Linked DNA regions of Canis lupus familiaris. The protein of the gene in region 5 purifies or fractionates together with the protein of the main gene of each other region. This does not show direct contact. Links are inferred from orthologs where the notes say so. Each region holds a gene or a part of one and is shown on either strand. Other genes may lie near its edges.

Region 1 (4,000 bases), on a different chromosome or scaffold from region 5:
TGAGGGATTGGAATTCCCCTGTCAAAAGACTTATACTTTGGGTTCTGGGGCTACTTGTTTCCTGTATAAATAGGGGCTTTCCTCTACTCTTCCCTAAATACCAAGGGGCTGGGGGGGATGGTGCCAGTGAGAGAAATATCTATTGACATTTGCAACCACGGTGGGGGAAAGGCTTCAGAACCCAGAATCTGCTTGGACAGCATATGCTACCCTTTCTGGAGAAGTATAGGTCTTCTCAGCTTCAGATTTTTCCAGAGGAGGTATAAGAATAATTCTCCTAACTCGCCTTTTCTGCATCTCAGGCTCTGGTATGTTACAAGAATTTAGAACAATAATTCTGAAAGGGACCCCAGATCCCTTTCAGAATTATTGATCTATACAGATCAAGAAGTCAATATCCTTTTTACTTAACCAAGCTCCAACCCCAGTTATCACAGGACTTAATCTTAGGCAATCGGGCGAGCCAAGCTCCGGTTTGCCCTCTGCCTTGAACCACAAAAGCATCCCGATCTGGGCAGCAGTCTTTAATCCACTGCTACCTAATTGTATAGTAGCACCTCTCATTGGCCACTGGTTTCAAAACACTCATCTCTCAGACTCTGGACACATCGTTTCTTGGGATGGAAGTAGCACAGAGTATAAGAAGCATGGCATGGAGACAGGGAGCTAGGAGTTCAGAACGAATACACAGGGTGTTTAAAAGCACCAGCTCAGGCTTGAATCCCAGTTATAGCCTTTACTATTAGTTTGGGTAAGTGGCCCCTCTAATCCTGAGACTCCTGGTATGTAAAATGGGACTAATAATGCCAACCCCTTCAAAAGGCAGCTTTGAGATTGAATGAGATGATGCACAGTACCTGGCAGGCGCATACTGAGTATTCAGTTAGCAATCATTATTAGCCAGCCTTGCGATCCCCTGCGAGTCATATAACCTATTTGGGTTCAATTCCATCCGCTGCAAAACGTATGGAAGCAACTACCCTGATTTCCTCCGAGGTAGTGAAGATCAAAATAATGCATTCAGCCACACTTACTCGCAACACAGCGCGAGAAACACCGCGATTACGTAGGACCTCGAGGTGGCCTAGGACTCGTGGGCGTGGCTTGAGCTTGGGTTTGCAGGCAACGCCGGGATTGGCTCGTTAAGGAGAGGATTCCATCCCTCTCGTTGTCCCGCCCTAGGCCTCACTGCGCCTGCGCACGTTCTGTTTGCATCGCCGCGAACCTACGTGGTGACCTTGCGAAGTGTGTTGCGCCCCGCTCGCATCTGCGTCAGCGGCAGTCGCTGCGGCTGCGTGGCGGGTTGTCCAGGTAACCACGGGAGTTGTCGCTGACTGGTGGCAGCTGAGAGGCAGGTGTTCGTCATGCAGTTGAAGCACCTGCGGACCCTGCTGAGCCCTCAGGTGAGGAGTTGCGTGCCTCTTCCCTTCCCCGCCCGCCTTAACGTTGCAAAGAAAAGGGGGAACTGAAATGTCACGATGTTGAGCGCCTACTGTATGCGGAAGACTGAAGGCTCTAAGGATGATTCGACTCTGCTCGATAGTGTGCAGTAGGCGAGACGGGCCTCTTAGCCTCGGTAGCTTTCATGCCCGTTCATTTAACTTCAGTTGTGGACGAGGAGGCCCCGTGGTGGGCGCGCTTGTAAACTACGAGCCTAAGTCTGCACCCAAAGAAACGAGGGCTCTAGGTGCAAGCCCCAGAGGAAGGGGTGCAGAAGACCTCACGTTCATTCTGATGATGAAGATTTCAGATTCAGAAGAGGCGGGGCCCTGGGGGAGGAACCATGCTAAAGAAAGGCTGCGTTTTGGAGCTGGGAGACCAGAATCCAAGTCCCAGGGCCAGCTCTACTTTAAATAAATGACCCAATACCGCTGACTTTGGCCCTCGTCACACAAAGTCTCTGAGTGGAAAACGGGAGTAACAATAATTAGCAACCTGAGGGGGATTTGGAGGAAGAGTTAAAGGAAGTAATGTACACAAAGGCCATTGCAAACTTAAAAGCAGTATTAAAACTGATAGACAAGAGAGGAGAGCAAAATTCAAAGGACAAAATCATACAAAGCTAGTGAAAATATCTGTCACAAGTGAATGTTTAATAGGTAGCAGGGCAGCATTAGTTGTTAAGATTGTGGTTTGTGGAATCAGACATACGTGGACTTAAATCTTGGTTCTGCCACTTCTAAACTGTGTATGTAAACCTGAGCAGATTACTTAACCTTTCTGAACCTCAAGTTTCTGGTTGTAAGATGTACCCAAAAATGGCATCTGTCTCAGCGTTATGAGGTAAAAGGAGAGTGCATATTAAGCACTTATCAAAGTGCCTAGCCTGTGGTAAGATCTTGTTAAAGATTAGCTTTCATTATTCTGTTCCCTACCTCATGTAATCCTTACGACTGCTGTGAGGAATCAGGAAGGCTTCACAGAAGATGTGGCATTAGAACAGAGGGAAATGGGGATCCCTGGGTGGCACAACGGTTTGGCGCCTGCCGTTGGCCCAGGGCGCGATCCTGGGGACCCGGGATCGAATCCCACGTCGGGCTCCCGGTGCATGGAGCCTGCTTCTCCCTCTGCCTATGTCTCTGCCTCTCTCTCTCTCTCTCTCTCTCTCTCTGTGTGTGACTATCATAAATAAACTGAAACTTAAAAAAAAAAAAAAAAGAACAGAGGGAAATGAGAAGAAAAGAGAAGTGTACTCATTGGCTCAGTAAACTGCCCCTGAAAATGTAATTTAAAGATTTCTTTACCCTAATGGAATTATTGAAAATGAAAACCTCCTTCAGTCTTTGAAAATAGGATGTCATGATGCAGGGAAGGGCGAATGCCCAGAGTTGGCAAAATGATGAAGGAAGATGAACAATGGTTATTGAGGAGCCCTTCAAACCTAATTTAATCAAGAGTTGGAGGGTGGTGAAGGTGGTGGTGTGGCTATATTCTGACTCTGAGAATTTTGATAAAGAAAGCATTTTTTTTTTAAATCTCTGACTTCACAGGTAAGTGGATTAGGAGTGAAAATTAACAAAGTTTGAAACCAGAGCTCTAGAGCCCAAGTAATTAATCATGCAATTGGAGCAGAAGCTAAATGTTTAATTTCAAGGAGGGAAATCCTTAGTGCAGAACCATTAAGTGAGGACCAGGGCTGGTGGCAGACAGATGTGGCAAAAATAATTCACTGGGAGATGGTCACTTCTAAATTGGGCTTCTGTGCAGTGCATAGTCCTTGGGCGGGGGAGGGGGGATCCAAAAAAACTAACCGGGCGGCATATTCATCCTAAGTCTCAACTCTAATTGTCTTACTCCCTATTCTGGAACTTTCACTGTCTCTCCCTTTCCCACGAAATAAGCCCAAACTCCTTGGCCAAATTTCAAAGATCTTTCTTGAGCTGGACTCACTGTCTTTCCTGCCTTACCTCCTCTGTTCTATTTGCAAGGTAGTTGCAGCTAAATTAAATTATTATTTCTTTTTTTTTTTTTTTAATTTTTTTTTTTAATTATTATTTCTTGACCAGACTTGCCTTTGCTCATATCATTCCTTCTACCTCAGATAATTCCTCTCACTTAACTGCATCCATTCTTCAAAGCTTAAAGTTGATCATTTATTTTTTTCAAGATTTTATTTATTCATGAGAGAGACAGAAAGAGAGGCAGAGACACTGGCAGAGGAAGGAGAAGCAGGCTCCATGCAAGGAGCCCAATGTGGGACTTGATCTCGGGAATCTGGGATCATGCCCTGAGCTGAAGGCAGATGCTTAACCACTGAGCCACCCAGGTGTCCCAAAGTTGATCATTTATTTTATTTTTTTTTAATTTTTATTTACTTATGATAGGCACACAGAGAGAGAGGCAGAGACACAGGCAGAGGGAGAAGCAGGCTCCATGCACCGGGAGCCCGATGTGGGATTCGATCCCGAATCTCCAGGATCGCGCCCTGGGCCAAAGGCAGGCGCTAAACCGCTGCGCCACCCAGGGATCCCCCAAAGTTGATCATTTAAACATAAAATTA
Region 2 (3,500 bases), on a different chromosome or scaffold from region 5:
TTTTTTACTGAAGCATCACCCAGGAACATCTGCCTCCATGTGGGGCTCCTGAAGTCCTTATTCTCCACCCCTCCAAAAAGGAGCTGAGCCTAAAGCAGAAATGGTCCTGTGCAGATATGTTTTCCTTGCTAAATAGAATTGCTTAGGGATGTACATACATTTTATTTTCCGTTTCCCAGAATGAGAGCTCCTTGAAGGCAGGGACCATCTTTTAGATTTACTCAGCAAATCCTCATGAACCCCCCAAACCCAAAAATGTTTCAGATGATGCAAATGACATCACAGGACTCAGTGAAGCAGTGCAGCCCAAAAAGGAGGAAAATTCATTGTTGGTTTCTGAGACATCTGAAAATCCTACTAAGTAGGGGAGATCAAGAGAGATGCTAGAATTTCACTCCCAACTCATCTCTTCCCAGGCCAGTGTATTCCTCCCTGGCTTGGGGGATCCTCAGCTAGGGGGCTTTCCTCACCCTTCCAGAGGGGCCCCATGCTCTTCATCATCATCATCTTCATCAGATTCTGTCTCAGATGAGTCGTCATCATCATCATCATTTTCACTGAAGCCTCGTTGAGGTGTCAGCTGTGAGGTCTTTTTCTTCTCCTGAGATGGGGCAGGGCAGGCAGAGAAGGCACCACATAAAAAGCAGCTTAGTGTACCCATGCCCCGAGCCCTCCTACTGCTCCCACAGACACCCTCCCGCCTGGCACCAATTCACCAGAAAGAGAAGGTGGCGCTCCCCAGAAAGGCCCCAAGGACTTTCATTTACTCCTGCCTAGCTACAAACTGGGTCCTCACTTTCTACAACCATATTCTATTTTTCTCCTTGAGGCTTCTGTATAAACTTTATCTAATAATTATCTATTTTGTCTGTTACTTAGGAGACCCTCAAAACTATGCATAAACTTATCTATTCAGCTTCAACTCCAAAAGTTAGGGGCTTTTAAAGAAGCAGAAGGTAACTGTGATGAGTTATTTTGGAAGGAAATGGGGGACCATGAAGTTGGAAGACAAATTTAAGGAATCTTCATACTCATAAGGATCACAGGAAATCTAGCATTTAATCTGCAAGATGGCCCAGCATAAGTTGCTTCTAACTATCTGAAGAAGGTTCATAATTAACCCTGTGCCTGAATTACGACCAGCAGTTCCAGACTGTGGGTCTTCTTCCATTCAGTCACACTTCTCCTCGGTAGGAACCTGACCTACTCATACTTCCCTTCCCTTCTTCGAAAGTTAAATGCAATGACATGTTATATCTAAAGATAAGAGACTCTCCCGCTCTTGGCATTAAAATCTACCTTTCTGAGCTTCTGGTTCTTTAAGTATCATCCTCTCCTCTCAAGTGTACGAGGTGGAGTCTGGTTTGGGGACTTGCAGGGGCATTGGGATGGGGTCCATGTCCTTGCCTCTGTGGCCTGCAGCCTATGGTATGCCCTCACGACCTGAAGGATAACCAATTGGCACCCTTTAAAAGTAGGTTTTGAGGAGCCCCTGACTGGCTAAGTTGGTAGGGCATGTGACTCTTGATCTCAGGGTTGTGAATCCATTTATTTATTTATTTATTTATTTATTTATTTATTTATCTATTCATTTATTCATTCATTCATTCATTCATTTATTTATTTTTTAGGGTTGTGAATTTAAACCCCTTGTTGGGCACAGAGCTTACTTAAAAATAAACAAACAAATAAATAACTTAAAAAATAAAAGTAGGTTTTTGAAAGCTTGGTTTCCATATGCCATATGGCTTTTTCTTTTTTAAGATTTTTATTTATGGGATGCCTGGATGTCAGCAGTTGAGCGTCTGCCTTTGGCTTGGGGCATGATCCCAGAGTCCTGGGACTGAGTCTCACATCAGGCTTCGTGCATGGAGCCTGCTTCTCCCTCTGCCTGTGTCTCTGCCTCTCTCTGTGTCTCTCATGAATAAATAAATAAAATATATTTTTTAAATTTTATTTATTTATTTGAGAAAAGAGAGCACAAGCCAGGAGGAGGGGCAGAGGGAGAGGAAGAAGCAGACTTTCTGTGGAACAGGGAGCCCAATGTGGGGCTCAGTCCCAGGACCCTGAGATCATGACCAAAGGCAAAGGCAGACACTTAATTTACTGAGTCACCCAGGTGCCCTGCCATATGGCTTATACTGAGGTTAAGAGATGTTTGGTTCTAGGTTTAAAAATTATTTAACGTTTCTCTTACAGTAAAGCAACCATTGGCATATTAAAAAAATTGTGACAATACAATACATCAAAAATGCTTCTGGTCATGTGTTCTTTTAAGCATAACGGATTTATTATACATGGATTAGGATATATTTTAACTAATCCGTAATATGTGTGTGACAAATGACACAAAGTTGCGCAATTTATTTAGTGACTATGCTTTATTGGTATACATTGATAAGAATCTCATAGTGGTGTGGGTTTCTTATTTTTTGTTTTTTGTTTTTTTTAGAGAAAGGAGGTAAGGGTAGGGAGAGGGGGAGAGAGAATCTTAAGCAGGCTCCACACCCAGTGTGACCCCAATGCAGGCGGGTTGGGGGAGTGTTTAGATTTCACACCCTGCTGACCCAAGCCAAAATCAAGGGTCAGATGCTTAACCAACTGAGCTACTCAAGTGCCCCAAAGTGTTCTTTCTTTCTTTTTTTTTTTTTAAGATTTATTATAAAAAAAAAATTATTTATTTATTTATTTATGACAGACAGAGAGAGAGAGAGAGAGAGGCAGAGACACAGGCAGAGGGAGAAGCAGGCTCCATGCAGGGAGCCTGACGTGGGACTCGATGCCGGGTCTCCAGGATCACGCCCTAGGCTGAAGGTGGCACTAAAGCCCACTGGGGCTGCCCAGAGAATGTTCTTTCTTAATTCAAAATCTGCCAAAGCTATCCTTGTTAGGGAAAGGAGCTTTTTAAGAATACCTGATGGTCAATTTTAAGATCATTCAAAAATAGATCCTTTCTGCTGATTCTGGTTGCACACTGAATTAGATAAATGAGTCTTGAACATTGGCCACAGCATGATGGAGACTAGAAAAATTTAGGGTGAATGTACAAAATTAGAAGGTCAGTTTAGGAAACTGCTCACTTTTACTTTGGTTCTTCAAAGCTATGCTTTGCAAAATCTCTAATCTAAAGGCAGAGGGGCTTTATATGCCACAGACAAATGCCTAAATACTTTGTGCATAAAATGTTAAAATAGCATACTAGGGACGCCTGGATGGCTCAGCAGTTGAGCGTCTGCCTTTGGCTCAGGGTGTGACCCTGGAGTCCTGGGATCAAGTCCCACTTCGGGCTCCCTGCATGGAACCTGCTTCTCTATGTCTCTACCTCTCTGTGTGTGTCTCTCATGAATAAATAAATAAAATCTTAAAAAAATAATAATAAAAAAATAAAACAGCATACTAGTCACAAAATGGGACTACTTTATTTGCTTTTTAAAAAAGATTTATTTATTTACAGAATAGGAGAGAGTGCATCAGCATGCACCCTTGAGTGAGGGGAAGGG
Region 3 (3,500 bases), on a different chromosome or scaffold from region 5:
GTATAACATTTTATGGATATATCAGAATTTATTTAACCTGTGCCCAAATGATGGACATTTAAGGTATTATTGTGACACCTTCAAAAAATAAATCCTAGCAAGTCTAAAAAAAAAAGTCCTAGCAAGTCTTAAGATAGTAGGCAGTAAATAGCATTTCAACTCTTTGATTGAGTTGAAATGAATCCACACTAAACCATTTCCAAGTTATAAGGAAATTCATTTTACAAGCTATTGTAATAGTATAATAGATTAATGCAGTATGCCAGAAATGCTTTGTTATATAGACAGAACACTAATCTTAAGTTAGAGACCTGGACTTTAAATTTTAGATGTGCTTGTTACCAGCTTTTTCTGAGCAAAAATCACTTAATGTCTATGCAGCTCAGTCTTCTTGTCAATAAAGCAAGTATAGTAATACCGATAACACAAGATAGTTTGCTATTTCATAGGAATTGAATCTGAAAAGAATGTATAAAATTTAAGACTCTAAAAACATAAGGTATTTTCATAAATCTGCCTGATGATTCTCTCCCTCTGCTCCCTCTCCCACTGGTACACAGACTCTCTCTCATATAAGTAACTAAATCTTAAAAAAAAAAAAAAGGAATGTTTCCTAGCTTATGAAGTTTCAAAAAGATATACATTTTAGTGTTTTACGGGGCATCTTTCCCTTGTAAATTAAAAAAAAGGTAACTGTACTTTAGCTTTTGAATTATATCAGTAGTTAACAGAGACATTTTATCATTCTAAGTAGGGGGTGATATTTAATTGATCTTTAAATAAACAAATATTCTTGTAATTAAATAACTTAAGTGATCTGATGTCAAGCACTAAAATTAATGCAGTATTTTCATTTTTCTAAATTTTAGAATGAAATCTTGGAAATTGCTCTGGATCAAAAGGGACTTACCAATGATAGAAAAATTGCGTTCATTGATAAAAATAGAGATCTCTATATCACTTCAGTGAAACGATTTGGGAAGGAAGAACAGATTATCAAACTTGGTAAAAAAATTATAATACATTTAAAATTTGATTACTTTGAATTTTCTTAGATCTACTCTGTCATATATTATACTAAATAGCATACTTGCTTGAATTAATCTGCGAATCATGCTTCGGTCTCATAACTTTTCTTAACTATTTAACACCACTTAAATAGCAAGTCTTTAGCTGCTATAACCACATTAGCATTGAAAGACTTAGAAATTAAAACATAATGGCTCCAGGTCAAATACTCAAATATTTCCATATATTTTTAAATGAGTTTTTGTACATGTTTTCACCATTATACAATCAGAAAACAGAGGCACACCTACCAGAATTTAGAAGGGGTCTTGTATGTTGATTATTAAAATATTTTTAATGCTTATTATAGTGGAACTAATAATACATTAACATTCTTTTTAAAATAAGGAACAATGGTGCATACTTTGGCATGGAGTGATACATGTAATATCCTTTGTGGACTTCAAGATACTCGATTTACAGTGTGGTATTATCCTAATACAGTTTATGTGGACAGAGACATTTTGCCTAAAACATTATACGAAAGGGATGCAAGGTAACATTTTACTGTTGGAATTGTTTATTGTAATAAATGACTCTAAAGTGTCATGTTTTTGCCTCTGATTTTAATCCTGCAAGGTACCTTTCACTCTACTCAGTCAACGAAATTGTTCAGCTAAAGCTAGCTTAATGAGATTAGATTTAAGTGTTGGGGTCAAATTGAAAGTGTCGTATAATACTACTATATTTATTCCTTCTATGGACATAATTTTCCTTATATGAATATAATTTTAAGCCTAATGTTATTTAATGAAACTCAGGTAGCTTTTTTTCAGTGTGGTTTAGTGATTTTAATATGGACATTTTTTAGATTTTTTTCAGTGATATACAATGTGTGTCAACCTTTATTCTTTCTCGAATTATCATAAATTACTAATTACTATACTTATAGGACTGTATAGGTCTCTAGAATTGAATTTTTAAAGTAATATTAAAGATTAAAAATATGTGGTAACTGAAGAGTTTAATTTTACATGCTTTAGAAAATACATGTATATCCCTAAGTTCTCTAAGAAATAACAAGATCTCTCAATCTTGACAAAATAAGAATGCAAAGCTTCTTAACTCCAAACCTTATCTTAACTTTCAAATCTATTTTGAGTTCACTTTAATATTCATAACTCTTGTAAGACCAGAGAGGCATCATTTTTTAAAAAGATTTATTTATTTATTTATGAGAGACACACAGAGAGGCAGAGATACAGGCAGAGGGAGAAGCAGGCCTCCCACAAGGAGCCCAATGCAGGACTTGATTCCAGATCCCGGTATCACGCGCTGAGCTGAAGGTAGATGCTTAACCACTGAGCCACCCAGGTATCCCAAAAGGCATCATTTTAGAAGTATTTAAATTAATAAAGAGAAGTTAGTCTCTTAAAGTTCACCTCTTTTTTTTATGATAGGCACACAGTGAGAGAGAGAGAGGCAGAGACACAGGCAGAGGGAGAAGCAGGCTCCATGCACCGGGAGCCTGATGTGGGATTCGATCCCGGGTCTCCAGGATCGCGCCCTGGGCCAAAGGCAGGCGCCAAACCGCTGCGCCACCCAGGGATCCCAAGTTCACCTCTTTTTATTATGAGAAAATAGTCTTGTAATCATCTTAATTTTTTACTGGTTTATACTTTCAAAAGCTAATGCTAAATTTTTTTTTCTTTAAAGATTATATTTATTTATTCATGAGAGACAGAGAGAGAGAGAGAGAGAGAGAGAGAGAGAGAGAACAGGGACACGGGCAGAGGGAGAAGCAGGCTCCATGCAGGGAGCCTGATGTGGGACTCGATCCTGGGTCTTCAGGATCAGGCCCTGGACTGAAGGCGGCGCTAAACCGCTGAGACACCCAGGCTGCCCCTGAGTTTTTTAATCATTTGTGTAATTTACCTTAAGACTTAGGTGAAAAAGATTATTTCAAATGCTTTTAGGCATAGCTCTCAAGTATGTGTTAATTTTTGTCACATTAAACTCCAAGCATATAGCAGATTAGATTTGAATGTTTATTTAAATATATACTTTCTCCCTGGAGTTAACTTTTTTGGGGGTCAATTTTGGACACTTGGAGACTTTATATCTGTGTCAAGGGTCAACTCCCCAAATTTAGTACATATGAAAGATTTTGCTCAGAGCATAAATTATACTTTGCTTTTTTTCAACAGTGAATTTAGTAAAAATCCCCATATTGTAAGTTTTGTCGGAAATCAAGTAACTATAAGAAGAGCTGATGGCTCGCTGGTTCACATCAGCATATCACCATATCCTGCTATTCTCCATGAATATGTAAGCGGTTCAAAATGGGAAGATGCTGTAAGACTTTGTCGCTTTGTGAAGGTACTTTACATTTCAGATCCATAGTTGTGTATATATTGAGTATTAGTTGACACATATCTTTGTGCAAGATAAGAAATGGTAACAACTAAGGGCTGGAAAAATTGCAAATGAAA
Region 4 (2,912 bases), on a different chromosome or scaffold from region 5:
CCTGAGTTTGCTTTGTGGCAGGATGATTGGGAACAGTCACTCTTTTTGTTTTTTTGTTTTGTTTTTTTTGTATAGAGTCTTTAAAAAAAATTTATTAGAGCTCACAATTGGACGGGAGGGGCAGAGGGAGAGGGAGAAACAGACTCCCTGGCTGAGCAGGGAGCCCCATGTGGGGCTTGATCCCAGGACCGTGAGATCATGACCTGAGCCGAAGGCAGACGCTTCACCAACTGAGCCACCCAGGCCCCCCTATTCTTTCCGAAGAATGTTCTAGATTTTTCCTGGCAGGTAACACAGCACTGAAAGGCCTCATGCCTTGAACACATGAGTCAGGGGGCATCCATGGGGAAGCCCTGGAAGCTGGATGAGCTTCTCCCAGAGGAAGGTGGGGCACCTGTAGGGCTGCGCAGAGGCGGCGGCCCTTGGTGGCTGCACTGTTCCCCTCCCTGCCGTCCCAGGGTTCTCTGCAAAATGTGAGGTGAGGACTTGAATATTCAGCTCCTCTGTGTAATTGCATGTTGGACTCTGGGCTGTGGGGTGGTGAAATATGTTTTTCACAGGTGTGAGGTCCTCATCCCTTTCCATCATTATCAGAGTATGTTTGTATTTTGACCCTTTGTCTTTGGATGCTGTGAATACCTTACTTTTGTCTTCCTTCGTTGTTTTAACGAGGAAGCAAAGCTAAGCCGAGACCCGATACTCACGAGCCCCTGTGTTTCCCATCAGCATCACGGACTGCGCGGTGGAGCCCTTGAAGGCCGAGCTGGCTGAGCTGGAGCAGCTGATTAAGGACCAGCAGGACAAGATCTGCGCCGTGAAGGCCAACGTCCTGAAGAACGAGGAGAAGATTCAGAGGATGGTGTACAGCATCAATCTGAGTTCGAGAAGGTGAAAGCTCAGACGTTTCAAAAGCTGGAAATCTTCCTCAGTCTGACAATAAAAAGGAAGATAGAATGCCAGTACTCTTTTAAGTGCAGTTTCCTAAGAAAATGAAGTTTTCAGCGTCGTCCATCCAATGTGCGGTCTCAAAGCTCCGCACTTGAGACCACAGGCACGCCCATGTGTAGAGGGGCCGTGCGTCCGCACCTTCCTCCAGTGGGGTATCGCCGTGCAGACGCGTGCTCTGCGTGTGTGCAGCGGCCTGTCCTGCTCAGTCCTGCGCCAGGATCCTCCAGCAGGTGAGTGGTGGTGGCGTGCCAGGGGACCGGCGGCCTTCCTTTCAGGTCTTAGGTCTGGTGACCGGACCCTGCGTGGAGCAGGTGAAGGATGACTGCTCCTGATGGGCACTGCAAGTCGAATGGGGCCTGAAAATGAGTCCGCTCCATTTTGAGTTTGCTTCCCCTTGGAGAGGGTTCACTTCAGGCTGTATCTCTATAAAGTACACGTGAGTTTCTTTGGCAGTTTCTCCTCAGCCCCTACGGCCTCTGGCTTCTGTGTCCTGCCTTAAAGTTCATTCATTTAAGGAGATTTTAGTATGTCCTTCGTGGACATTTGCCCCCAGGGTGTTCCCCAGGTAGGGAGCAGTGACTCCGGGGGGCTCGCACTCGCCTGCGCCCGCGGCCTTGGCATCCTGCCTGGTCCTCCCCTAGACGTGTGATCCTAAGAGGCGAGTAGCTCGGGGCAGACAGCTGAAGGGAGGCTTCAGGGGACGCACTGATTTGCAACATTTTTTTTGATGTTACCATTTTTTTGGAAATTGTTTTTTAAAGCAAGGGTTTTTTTTAGAACATGGTTTATATTTAGTTTTTCACTCACATATGGTGTTGTAAATACTTAGGAAAGTCTTAAGTTTGTATATAAAGGATTCCAGTGTTTGGAGACATACAGGTCGTAAGGTCTGGGTCCCGATACTGTTATTTCTAGATATTTATTGTGCAAACCACACGGTGCCATTTAAATGTTAGAATTGCCTGAGAAAGTTCTGCTTCTTTAAGGATTAGCACAGATGGCACAGGTTAGGTTTCCTTACTGTGATTTCCAGAATAAATCCTTTTCTAAGGTGGTTATATGATTTCCCAAGCTGAGTAAGTTCCAGATCAGCTTAAGCTCTGCCGTTCTGACACGTTGGCCACTTTGTCATTTCTACCGTGCACCATAAAATTGTTTGATCAGATCGCACTGAATGCATTATTGGAGGTGGGAGGGGTGTCAGTTCATGAGTCCCCCATATACCTGTCTCTTTTCTTCTGAGTTGAACAACTTAGCCACAACCCTCAATTGACCGTTTTGCTTCAAGATGTGTCTGCCTTTTATGAATTTGTACATACGAATAGAATTGTTGTGTTGCAAAAAAAAAACTGCATACATTTTATGTGAGTAGAATTTTGTATGAAAGTTTATCAAATTGTATCATAAAATTTATTTTTATTTTATACATAAATCATTAAAAACAATCACATATTTTTTCTATAAGTGTATGGATTGTGCGATTCAGTTCACAGCTGGAAAAACATAAGCATTTGGATTTTTTTATCTTCGAACGCATATATTTTTGTTTTTCTTGTGAAGAAAGTTCAGGGAAATTGATCTTTTCATTCATATCGTGACACTTCTCACTCTAATGTATAAGTTGAAGTTTTATAAGACAGGTAAGCATTTGTCAGAAATTTAAGGTCATTCACGAAGTTACAGACCCTCTCCCTGTGTGATTATTACGGTATCGTATCAGAGACGCGTTAAATGCTGATGTTACTTGTTGCTTTGAGAAAATACACAAAGGGGATTAGTAAGCCCTTTCCTCTACTTTGGCTTGGACATTTCCAGGAGGGCTGAAGTCACACTGCAGGAATTTTAATTTAAAAGTTGAACTGATGTTCATTTACATTCAAAGAAAATGTGTCAACCTTTGGGAAAAACATTCAGGACTAAAATGTGAGCTTTCTGGCCTGATATTCATGCTTATTTTTCTTTTC
Region 5 (3,500 bases):
AAAATATTTCTCATTACAGACTTCTTTTGCTATTGAAAATTTCAAGCTATCTTCTTTTTCACAAGTGGTTGGGAATTTGTGGGATGGATTGAAGGAAATTTAGCCCATTTTGTACTATTTTTGAAAAATGTATTTGTGAGTTCTTTTATCTACTAAAATCCTATGGAATTTCTAGGGATTTTTGGATAAACTTCATAATGAAATTAGTAGAACTCTGGAAAAGATCGGCAGCCGAGAAAAGTACATCAACAACCAGCTTGAGCATTTGGTTCAAGAATATCGTGCAGCCCAAGCCCAACTGAGTGAGGTAACTTAGGAATGATATTCAGGGATTTATTTCAGTTAATGACCTTAATTCCCAAACTTGACACAGCACTTTTCATTTGAGAATCATGAAATGCTTCTCCCAAACAGCAACACATGGATACTCTGCCCACTTTAGGAAGCCACGTGAGGCAGTAGAACTTGTCATCTCCATGTTACATGCAATAGAAATTATCTCCTAGAAGTCTTTAAATGCATTTCTTCTTTTGATTTAAATAAATGAAGACATGTATTGTTGGGGAACATTGCTTAGAACAGGAACAGAGTGTCAGGACACCTGGTTTTGTTTCTTAGTCTGCCGTTAATTTACCCTGTGAGTAGGAGGAAAAAGAATAGTATGCATTTACATGTGTCAGAGGGAAAAGACATCATTGCCTTAATGGCTTACAGCCACATAATAAAGAATATGAAAGCAAGACACGTTCAGAGACAAGCAGTTTAATTAATTTAATGAGCAAATTTTTTAATCCTTTCAAGGTTTTAGAATTTCAACCAAAAAAATAAAACCTTCAGCCTTTGGAAGCAGTGGTTCTTTGTACCCCAGTAGGGATCTAAAGGCTTTCCTTGGGAGTTATGCCCCCTCTTTCCTGATGTTGAGGAAGGCTAGTAAGAACACTTAGAAATGCTAGTTGAAGAGTTTTTTATTTTTCTTTCAGTAAATAAGGTTAGAAGAAGGGAAAAAATGGAAATCAACTTAAGATACTTCTGTACTTTCAGAAGTTCTCAAAGACCAAACAGAAAACAATCTTCACTGTTTTATTATGTTATTTATTTAACAAATTATTCCCTCATATACATATATACTCATGGATGTTTTTACTTTCAAAATGCTGTAAAAAGTCTGATTAAAACCACTGTCAAACACTGATACTAAATAATTGTTAGATTAGTTCCCAAGAACATATTCCGTACTGTCATACCATTTGTTAATCCTTATTAATTGCTCATCCTGATGCTCTGTTATGATTGATTTTTTGAACTGGTTTTCTCTGCATAGCATGCAAATTACATCGACCAAGAGCTGCTCTCCTAAACTGTGTAGGAATAGCTGAGGACAGTTTTTATTGTGAACCATGCCCGTGTGAGTTACACAGTCAGTATATGAAGGTTAAGGTAGTTTATCATTTTATAGTGCCTTAGTTTAAATACATCGCGCCTATTAGGGACATAAAAAAGCTACAGTTAAATGTCACTTTCACAAATGTATTCACAAATGGGGGGGGCTGTCATAAAATGATATGCAGAAATCGCAAACACAAAGAGGTCACATTTAAGTAATCTGCTTCTGTTGTGAATTTGTCATTAAACAAAATGTTTTCTCCCTTAGGCACGGGAGCGATACCAGCAGGGTAATGGCGGAGTAACGGAAAGGACCAAGCTCCTGTCTGAGGTGCACACCACGCTCTCGCCCTCTCCTCACCCTCAGCTGCACCCTGGCCCCAGCCATGCAGAGTCATTGTGGTTTAATACTGCTCCAACCGGGCGCTCTTTATTTCAGCAACTGCTTCCCGTGGCTCTGAGTCCTTTTCTTTAGGAGAAAATCCCTAGTTTTCTTATCAATGAATCAATTATGTATTTATATACTTCTTATTCCCATAAAATGCCTGAAGTTGTTTTATTAAATTCAACATAGAACCTGTTGATAATATTAGCACATTTATAACCTTCCTTAATCTTTTTAAAAGCAGAGTAGTCATGATTAATACATAGAAGAGTAGGTAAAGCACTGGCTTAAATGTCTTATAATTAATTTTAATGTTAGTCTGTAAGATATAAGATCTGTTTTTAGTGATTGCTGCTGATGTATGTGATCCTAAGTATTTCTGTCTACAAACTGGAAGTGGCTATCCTTCTGAGAACTTCTGAAATATTTGCATATATTGTTGCATTGATTTTCATCATCACACAAAGGGGTACAATCTAATATATATTCCAATTTTTTACTGAAGGGCCGGGAGAAAAAAAATTCTTACAAGGTCAATAGCCAATGTACAAGAGTGTCTTTGGTTATAATCCAGTGTAATTGTCACAGACATTTTCAATATAATAGAATTAAGCTTCTTTTATAGAGATTATTTGAGGCATAAATAGTTATTTTAGAATACTAAAAGTGTAACTTTAGAAATATTTAGACTCTAATCCTGTGGTGCTTCTAGGCAAATAGAACATTATGTAGAAGTAAAGTGCTCACTTACGTTAGGTAAATTAACACTTGAAGGGAGTCCAGGGACCCATTTAGTTCTTTTGGAGGAGGTAGTTATCCCCAGTTGTAACATTGCAGGTGCCTAAAAAAAAATTAATTTGCTTTACTTGGATGAGCACTTTATTCCCAAGGAAGTTTTTACTCACCAGTATGATAAAAATAAAGCCTAGTAAGTTACAATAATTATGGCTTAGTTCTAGGTCATATAATTTTTTAAAAAAACTTTTAAAGCTAATATTCTAGGTTGGAATTTTACTAATAGAGGCTATAGTAGTATAATTTTGAATATGACGTAGAATACAGCTAAGAGCCAATATGACAGCACAATATGCCTCTTGGAGTTCACGGTTTGGATAGAGCAGTTGGAATATTTTTATATACAGCCATATGGTATAAACGTTATTTTTAGCATCCTATACAGGAAAAGATGGCATCTTCTCTTATAAAACTATAATATTAAGAAAGATACCTACTAAGCCTTAGAAATCCAAAATCTTCTCAGAATGTATATACTGTTTTAATTAATAACTCATTATTAAAGACTGGCAAGGTTGGGATGCCTGGATGGCTCAGTCCATTGAGTGTCTGACTTGATTTCAGCTCAGGTCATGATCTTAAGGTTGTGAGACAGAGCTCCAAGTCAGGCGTGGAGATTCTCTCACTCTCCCTCTGCCCCTCTCTATCCCACCCCACCTCCCTGCTCTCTTTTTCTCTCTAAAAAGAAAAAAAAAAAAAAGGATTGGCATGGTAGATGCTAGGAGATAACTACAAGGTTTGCATGTCTGATGCCTAAAACAACAACTTAGATCAGTTTTTATTGTCATGTGACAACCTGAAAACATCATTTGGTGAAGTTTAATGTTAGGAGCACTCTCAGAAGATAAAAAGCTTTGTCTCTCTGTCTCTTTTATTATTCAAATTATGTCCAGAACACTCCTAATATGTTTATGTCCCTTTATGGATGTATTAGATC
Region 6 (2,540 bases), on a different chromosome or scaffold from region 5:
TTAAAATTTTGAATGTTTTTTTTTCTTATCCTTTAAAAACGTGTATAATTGTTTTGAATATGGGTACTGTTTAACATTTCTATTTTGTGATTTTAGCTTACAAATTTGGAGAGGAAGTGGCAACACCATGAGCAAAATAATTTTGTGATGAAAGAATGTATCCTTTAAAAAGAAACAAATGACTGAGTGATTTTTGTTTTTTAAAAATGTATTCACTTATTTGAGAGAGAGAGAGAGAGAGAGAGAGATCTGTCAGGGGGCATGGTAGGTAGAGGGAGAGAGCATCTCAAGGAACCTGAGATCACAGCCTGAGCCCAAACCAAGAGTCTGACACCCAACTGACTGAGCCACACAGGCACCCAGAGTGATTTTTTTCCTAAGAATGTTTTAAAGACGGAAATGAAATGAAATTTAATATACACTTATCAAATACCTAATATGTACAAAACCTCAATCTAAACTATGTGGGGAATAAATGAATGAGACTTCGTTTCCAATCTACAATAATTAGGGTGTGTTTGTGTGTGTGTACGCGCGCACATGTTCTGTGTACATGCACACTCACAACCAAAGTAACAATAGAAAGCAGACTATACAAAGTTAGTGTGGCATAGTGACTGAGTGCACAGGTTTTGGAGCAAGGAGATCTAATTTTCAGTGTTGACTCTACTACTTGTAGTTTATGGACTTTGGACAATTTATTATTGTTAAAGTTTGTTTAAGCCTCAACTTTATCATCTCAAATATACTTAATATTTCTTTCTCATAGAGTTATTGGGAGAATTATGTATACCTACAGAAATATGTATGTGCATAATTGTTTGCTGTTGCTTATAGTGCTGTACCTTGGATATCTGGGCAGCAAAGGGAAGTAAACACATTAGTATCTTGAGAAATTTGACCTTCAAGCTCATCTGTTTCAGCCAATTCAACTTCACGTTTTTACCAAGATGGCACTTATATCCCACCTTCTTGCTTTATCTTTTTGTGTGATTATATAGGAGGAAGCACCTATTTGAGGACATATGTTTTGAAATTGTAAGAAACACTTCTTTGAAAGTTATTTTCTGTTCCTTTCTTTGACCCTTTAAGGATATCTCTGCTTGGAGAAGTAGTTCCTGACTCATTGGTAGTTTAGATTCTCCTCCAGGAAACTGCTGAACTTCAGCTCAGGGCAGCATGGATCCCAGCTTACTTCCAGATCAAATGCATCAGGTGCTCTATTCCTAGCAGTTGTTGCTACTCATTTTAAAAGCAAAAGACTCTCACTCAGTATGCTTTAGTCCAGCAGTCTAGTTTATGCAACACAAAGTAGGGGATTTTGAAATAGAGTGAATTCTAGAGACTTCTGTAATTCATTGCAGTACTCTAGAGAACATGGTTCTTCTGAACATTCAGTTGTTCTCAGACCAGAATTAGATTGAAATGCACAACATTAAGTATAAAAAGCTATTATGGGTGCATTGGTAGCTCAGTCAGTTAAGTGTCTAACTCTGTTTTGGCTCAGGTCATACTGTAGGTGAACTTTTTTTGAAACACATTTTCCTTAGCCTTTTAGATTTCAGTTGATCTTAATCTGTTAATATATTTTTTTAAATATATTCTAATTGTTCTTTTTCTGGCCATTTTCAGTTTTCCATAAGAAAAATACCAGTATGATTTGGTCCCTTCCTAAGCCAAAGTGGATTACTGTTTTTGTTGATCACTGTTCCCCCTTAACTCATGTAATTAGTCATAGCAACCAAGAGTCAAGAGAGTGATTACCAGTCAATTATGAAGAATGTGACCAAGCAGATTGCAGAATACAATAAAAGCATTGTGGACGCTCTACATAGCATGAGCAGAAACTGAGTCTGAACCAACTGCAAGTCTCTATAATAGTATGCTTTCTGCTAAACTGTATGTTGACTGAAAAAGAATCTCATACCCTTGAAGAGTTTTACCTAAAATTTTTAACTACTATAATTTTTGTGACCTCTTTGAAGAGGTATACTACTTTAAACAGCATAATAGTTCAATAAAAAGTTTGCATACAGAAAAGCATTTTTTTGTATTTTTTTTGTGTGAGTGATAAAAATGTCTCAGACAACCAAGAGATAAACTAAAAGTGGCCGTTGAGATTGATTTAGTTGGTATAATCCACCTATGGCAGCAAATGAGATCATTTTTTAAATGTGTCAACTCTAGAAGGGATATACGGAGTGAGATTCTGACTTAGCACTTACATCAATCTTGTCAAGTTTTGCTTCTAGAAAAAGAAAGAATGGAAGGCAGATGTTTAGTTTTGAGGTTTATTTCTCAAATAGGGTATATTTGATGTATTCTAAGGAATATAAAGTTGCAGGTAAGTATATTAACTCATATTCTTTGCATATCAGTTATCCCTAAAGATTCAGAATTAAAAACTTTGACCTTTGTATTTTACAAATATTTTCTTACGTGTATATGCTAGGAAAAACATGAAGTTTAAAAGAAATGCTGCACCTATGGTAGTCTGTTTTAGACAATGGCTGTTGCTGTTCATTGTCACTCTGGAGTAT
Region 7 (4,215 bases), on a different chromosome or scaffold from region 5:
TTTAAATCTCCTAATTCATCCTCTTTCCAAACCTTAGTCTTGTTTTTACAGACCACCTGACATAAGTCCCTTCACTCTGAGGTCTGGTGTCTCAAACCTGATGTGGAAGTGCGCTTCCTATTGGATCACTTCACCCTTCCTTATACTTTCATCATCCTTCCTAGCTTGTTCACCAAGTGGCTTGGAACACCACTTCATTGGTGTTCCTTAGCTTTCTTTAAATTTATACTCACGGCCAACTCAAAAAATCAAACACTTGTGAACACACATGGAAAATAGTAACTGGTCCTGTTTGGTTGCCCTTTTTTGTCTGTTTTGCTCACAAGCCATACTGGTCTGATTGTTGGGAGTATCATCTGACTCATATGTCTGGTCCAAATAAAGGTACCTGCTGACCACTGCCTGGTTTGTTTTATGGACTATTAAGGGGCTAACATGCAGGATTCTTTCAAGGTGTTAAATATACACTTCAAGGGCACCAGGAAAAGAGATAGATCAAGCCATTTGAAAACAATAATTTATTGCTCTTCCTTTCCAAAGCTATGTGAATTTACAAAAAAAGAAGAAAAAGAAAAAAGGATCAGAGTGTACAGACTGCTCAGTTCAGGCTAAGAATGCCAAGAAGCGAGAGCCTGGACCACCATGGCTACTAGGTGTTCACCAGCAGATGCACATGGCCATCTGCAATAAGCTCCCCCATATTGGTTTACTGCCTTCAGAGATGCTGTGTTCCTTACACACCATCTCTCAGGACAAACGTGGGTCATTAGTCAAGTCACTGGAACGGCACAGAGGTTTTTTGGGTTTTGTTTTGTTTTTTTGCCCTCCTGCTATAAAATGAAACTTTCAGTTCATTTCTGAAAAATAAATTGGTCAATAAATTCATTTTGTTCTGCTTCTACTTTACACAAAGCTTCATATTCAACCCGATACCTGAAAAACAAAATTGTGAGAAGCCCTAAGAATGGATGAAATCAACCATGGATTTAATTCTACAGAAAAATATAACTGATTTGAACAATGTCAAGACATGGTGTGAGTTCACAGTGATGTTAGGATAAGAAAGAACAAAGGAAAAAAAAAAAAAGAAGAACAAAGAGGCAAAGCCCAACCTAGGGCCACCCTTAAGAAGTCTCCAGCCCTGCCCAAGAGGTTCTTTCCTTTCAGAGAACCAGCCAACTCCACAGACAATTGCTACCTGAGCTTTCAAGCTCTCAAACTAGTAGAGGTGGTTTTTTACTAACAAATTTTCTATTCTCATCAAATGTAATTTTATTTTTTAAATCTTCAAATCAGGATGACAAATGAGATACTATTCTGGGAGGACAATGATGAAAGGTAAGAGGTGACCAATCATGAAGGAAAAGTAGAATTGCAGTTGAGTAAAGAACTTGCTTTATACATCATAACTTCTTACCTTTCAAGCTGCATTTTCTTTTCTGCTATTAGTGCTTGGAGTTGCTGCTGTTGGGCTTCTCTTTGTTTTGCTATAGATTTGAGCAAGTTCCGAGCACCAATGGCCTAGAAAAACAGTATTATCAAAGGTCATGGCTTCATTAATATCATCTTCAGCATTAAGTCCTCGGCCAAGGAAGGGCCACTTGACTATCTCAGCCCCCAGCCAGCAAGACAGTCAAGCCCCAGAGCTTCGGGAATGAGGAGGAATGACTGATCCCAAAGTGCCTGATAAGACCCAGGCTGCAGTCTCCGGGGCATGTCTACAAGTATCCCTGAGTCTGGCACACAAGTGGTCAGTGGCCCATTTGGTGTGCCATTTTGCCTTGTGTCCTTTGCCAAGTCCTCGGTACCACGTATGCCTTCATTGCTTCAACTTACAAAATAAGCATAAAACCAACTATCTCAGTGTTGTGAAGATTAAAGAAAAGAATAACAAAGTGTACTAGCATGTAAGAGTTCAATAAGAGGGTAACTGGACTTGTTACTTAAAATCCTGTTATAAATAAATAAAAATCCCACAGCCCCCACCCCACCTCCAAGAAAAAGTCAAGATGGTAGGAGGAGAAGCCAGTGAACCATGTCCCAGGCCAAGATTTAGAAGACATGCTGATCTTACCTTCATCTTTTCATTTTCTGCTTCTTTTGCAAGTTGGTCAACAAGCTCAATTAAACCACCAACTATTTTCTGAAACTGGCCAATTTCTTTTAAGGAAAGAACAGAAAATAAAATGTTTTATTTTCTCCATGTGTTCCCCTGTGGCAAGAGGGCAGGGCTAACTGCCCCTTCTAACTTGTGTCAAAACAGTTTGGTGCCTGTTGGCCTAAAGTCTTCTGCCCTTGATCTAAATCCAGAGAAGGGTGCTCAGGTACCCAGGACTCGACCAGGGTGTACTTGGACCTTGAGTCCCAACTGAGCCAGCCAGTGACTGTTAACCTCAGGTAGGAGGCTCCTGATGGGCCCATCCTCTGCATAGACTCCATCCCGCTTTCCCAGGAGTGATGGGAAGCACAAAGGGCCATGTTCACAATAGGACTGACTGAGGACATGAAGAGAGCCTCTTGCCTAGCCACAGATAAAGCACTAGATTTCAGTTCATGGTAGTTGGAGGGGGTGGGGGGAGGGTTGCCAACTGTGACCAGAGCTAATAACTCAAAGCATTTAAGTGCCTAATCTCCCATTTGCTTTTTTCAATGTCCTTGGGTGTGGTGGGATCTCATTCTACTGAGATCCTGAACTAGGACCCAGGAAGAAAGGACAATACGCAGTGAGAAAACTGGCAGTGGAGCTCATGCTGCCTTTCACCAGTCGAGCTCTCTACAGACTATGGAGTGCCCAGAAGGCTCAGAAATCCCTGCTCTTCAACCAACAACAGAAATCCCTGCTTCAGCTAGAGCTGCTCTGTATTCACTGCCACTGGGCTTGCTTGCCTGGATATCAACCAAAAAAAATGACTTCGTTGAGTCTGTTGAGCCTCCAAGAAATCCAATCCAATCATGAGTACATAACTATTTCCCCACCCCAAGCCAGCCACAGTTCTGCCCCCCATGAAGTTCAAGCAAAAAAATCAAGGATGAGATACCCTCTCTCCATTTCACCATTGGTTTTCATTGGTGCTCTGTGTCTGACTACATGAGAACATTAGCAAGGAGACAAGGCGATTGGTTTCTGGGAATTCACAAAGGCCTGACACAACTTCCAGGGAGCCACTAGCTCCATTCTGGCAGAGACAAGAACTGCGAGTGGGGGTGGGGCCAGCCAGAACAGCTCCGAGCCAAGTGGCACCATGTCTCCCTGAGTGACACTCACTGTCCACAAAGTCCTTGCACTCCTCCTTGAGCTCTATGGTCTGCTGGGTGACCTCAGGGTCCAACACGCGCAGCTTGTTCAGTTCATCAAAGTGCAGCCCTGCTTCACCCAGGATGTCCTTGGCCATAGCTGTGAAGAAACCAGCCTCAGTCCCTGATCACTTCCCAGCCACCCTAGGAAATGCCTGCATCCAGCCCAGGCCCACTCCCACTCCCAGACACCAGTGCCAAAAACCCAGATTTTCCTCCAAAGGCTCCCCTTCCCTCTGCCTCCATCTCTCTGAGCCTCACCTGTTTCCCTTCCGGCTTCCCTAGAGAAGAGAAGCTCTGTGATAGTGGCAGCCAGGAGGAAGTGTCATAGGAGCAAGGGTCAGGAAAGAATAAAGTCCAGGTGGCTTGTCACTGGCATCGTTCATTCAACACACATTTCTTGAGTGCCTACTACATGCCAACACTGCTAGATGCTGGGGGTACAAAGATGAGCGCAACATGGTGCCCGCCCGGGAGGAGTACATAGTTTAGCTGGAGGAAGACAGACATGGAAACTGAGAAAGTATACTGTGTTAAGTGCTTTTACAGAAATATCACTGTTGCAGGAGAACAGAACAGTTAACAAGGTGAGGGAGTAACATTTGAACTAAATTCTGAGAAGCCATAAGCATATTTATCCCCAATTATGTACCCAAAAAGACGTGAAAGATCTTTTCCAGCACAGTACTAGCATAACACCAAAAGCAAGTAAAAGAGGAAATCTGCGTGAATTAAAAATCAGAGTTAAAAAATAAGCCAGGAATAAGAACATTACCCACAATGTATGCCACAGGCTATGGCATGCTGGCCTGCACTAGAACCAAGGTCCGTTCCATCGCTTTATAGCAGAAAACACAAAAAGGAATGAAATATCAGCAAGAACGTATCAAGTGAGGAGGCTACGGAAAGGCTTTCCAAGCA

What was found.
Region 1: the proteins of IFT57 (region 5) and IFT172 purify together in Homo sapiens (affinity purification with mass spectrometry; 3 studies listed by BioGRID and IntAct, counting the BioPlex papers as one, with this or other methods). This does not show direct contact. The link is inferred for Canis lupus familiaris from reciprocal best matches to the Homo sapiens genes IFT57 and IFT172.
Region 2: the proteins of IFT57 (region 5) and IFT46 purify together in Homo sapiens (affinity purification with mass spectrometry; 3 studies listed by BioGRID and IntAct, counting the BioPlex papers as one, with this or other methods). This does not show direct contact. The link is inferred for Canis lupus familiaris from reciprocal best matches to the Homo sapiens genes IFT57 and IFT46.
Region 3: the proteins of IFT57 (region 5) and IFT80 purify together in Homo sapiens (affinity purification with mass spectrometry; 3 studies listed by BioGRID and IntAct, counting the BioPlex papers as one, with this or other methods). This does not show direct contact. The link is inferred for Canis lupus familiaris from reciprocal best matches to the Homo sapiens genes IFT57 and IFT80.
Region 4: the proteins of IFT57 (region 5) and TRAF3IP1 purify together in Homo sapiens (affinity purification with mass spectrometry; 3 studies listed by BioGRID and IntAct, counting the BioPlex papers as one, with this or other methods). This does not show direct contact. The link is inferred for Canis lupus familiaris from reciprocal best matches to the Homo sapiens genes IFT57 and TRAF3IP1.
Region 6: the proteins of IFT57 (region 5) and IFT74 purify together in Homo sapiens (affinity purification with mass spectrometry; 3 studies listed by BioGRID and IntAct, counting the BioPlex papers as one, with this or other methods). This does not show direct contact. The link is inferred for Canis lupus familiaris from reciprocal best matches to the Homo sapiens genes IFT57 and IFT74.
Region 7: the proteins of IFT57 (region 5) and IFT20 purify together in Homo sapiens (affinity purification with mass spectrometry; 3 studies listed by BioGRID and IntAct, counting the BioPlex papers as one, with this or other methods). This does not show direct contact. The link is inferred for Canis lupus familiaris from reciprocal best matches to the Homo sapiens genes IFT57 and IFT20.

Annotation. Positions count from the first base shown.
Region 1 is NC_049238.1:21,489,865-21,493,864, reverse strand, and holds the start of IFT172 (intraflagellar transport protein 172 homolog), read left to right. Parts: upstream 1-1,200; 5' UTR 1,201-1,364; coding exon 1,365-1,403; intron 1,404-4,000. UniProt on the Homo sapiens protein: Required for the maintenance and formation of cilia. Plays an indirect role in hedgehog (Hh) signaling, cilia being required for all activity of the hedgehog pathway.
Region 2 is NC_049226.1:15,210,234-15,213,733, reverse strand, and holds part of IFT46 (intraflagellar transport protein 46 homolog), read right to left. Parts: intron 602-3,500; coding exon 471-601; intron 1-470. UniProt on the Homo sapiens protein: Forms part of a complex involved in intraflagellar transport (IFT), the bi-directional movement of particles required for the assembly, maintenance and functioning of primary cilia. May play a role in chondrocyte maturation and skeletogenesis.
Region 3 is NC_049255.1:26,534,619-26,538,118, reverse strand, and holds part of IFT80 (intraflagellar transport protein 80 homolog), read left to right. Parts: intron 1-869; coding exon 870-1,005; intron 1,006-1,416; coding exon 1,417-1,564; intron 1,565-3,215; coding exon 3,216-3,387; intron 3,388-3,500.
Region 4 is NC_049246.1:49,114,781-49,117,692, forward strand, and holds the end of TRAF3IP1 (TRAF3-interacting protein 1), read left to right. Parts: intron 1-726; coding exon 727-892; 3' UTR 893-2,412; downstream 2,413-2,912.
Region 5 is NC_049254.1:13,948,606-13,952,105, reverse strand, and holds part of IFT57 (intraflagellar transport protein 57 homolog), read left to right. Parts: intron 1-175; coding exon 176-307; intron 308-1,651; coding exon 1,652-1,714; intron 1,715-2,519; exon of another isoform or gene 2,520-2,609; intron 2,610-3,500. UniProt on the Homo sapiens protein: Required for the formation of cilia. Plays an indirect role in sonic hedgehog signaling, cilia being required for all activity of the hedgehog pathway.
Region 6 is NC_049232.1:45,480,058-45,482,597, forward strand, and holds the end of IFT74 (intraflagellar transport protein 74 homolog), read left to right. Parts: intron 1-96; coding exon 97-157; intron 158-1,732; coding exon 1,733-1,851; 3' UTR 1,852-2,040; downstream 2,041-2,540. UniProt on the Homo sapiens protein: Component of the intraflagellar transport (IFT) complex B: together with IFT81, forms a tubulin-binding module that specifically mediates transport of tubulin within the cilium. Binds beta-tubulin via its basic region. Required for ciliogenesis.
Region 7 is NC_049230.1:42,552,294-42,556,508, forward strand, and holds the end of IFT20 (intraflagellar transport protein 20 homolog), read right to left. Parts: intron 3,787-4,215; exon of another isoform or gene 3,592-3,786; 5' UTR 3,556-3,591; intron 3,395-3,555; 5' UTR 3,393-3,394; coding exon 3,266-3,392; intron 2,161-3,265; coding exon 2,075-2,160; intron 1,522-2,074; coding exon 1,418-1,521; intron 934-1,417; coding exon 852-933; 3' UTR 501-851; downstream 1-500. UniProt on the Homo sapiens protein: Part of intraflagellar transport (IFT) particles involved in ciliary process assembly. May play a role in the trafficking of ciliary membrane proteins from the Golgi complex to the cilium.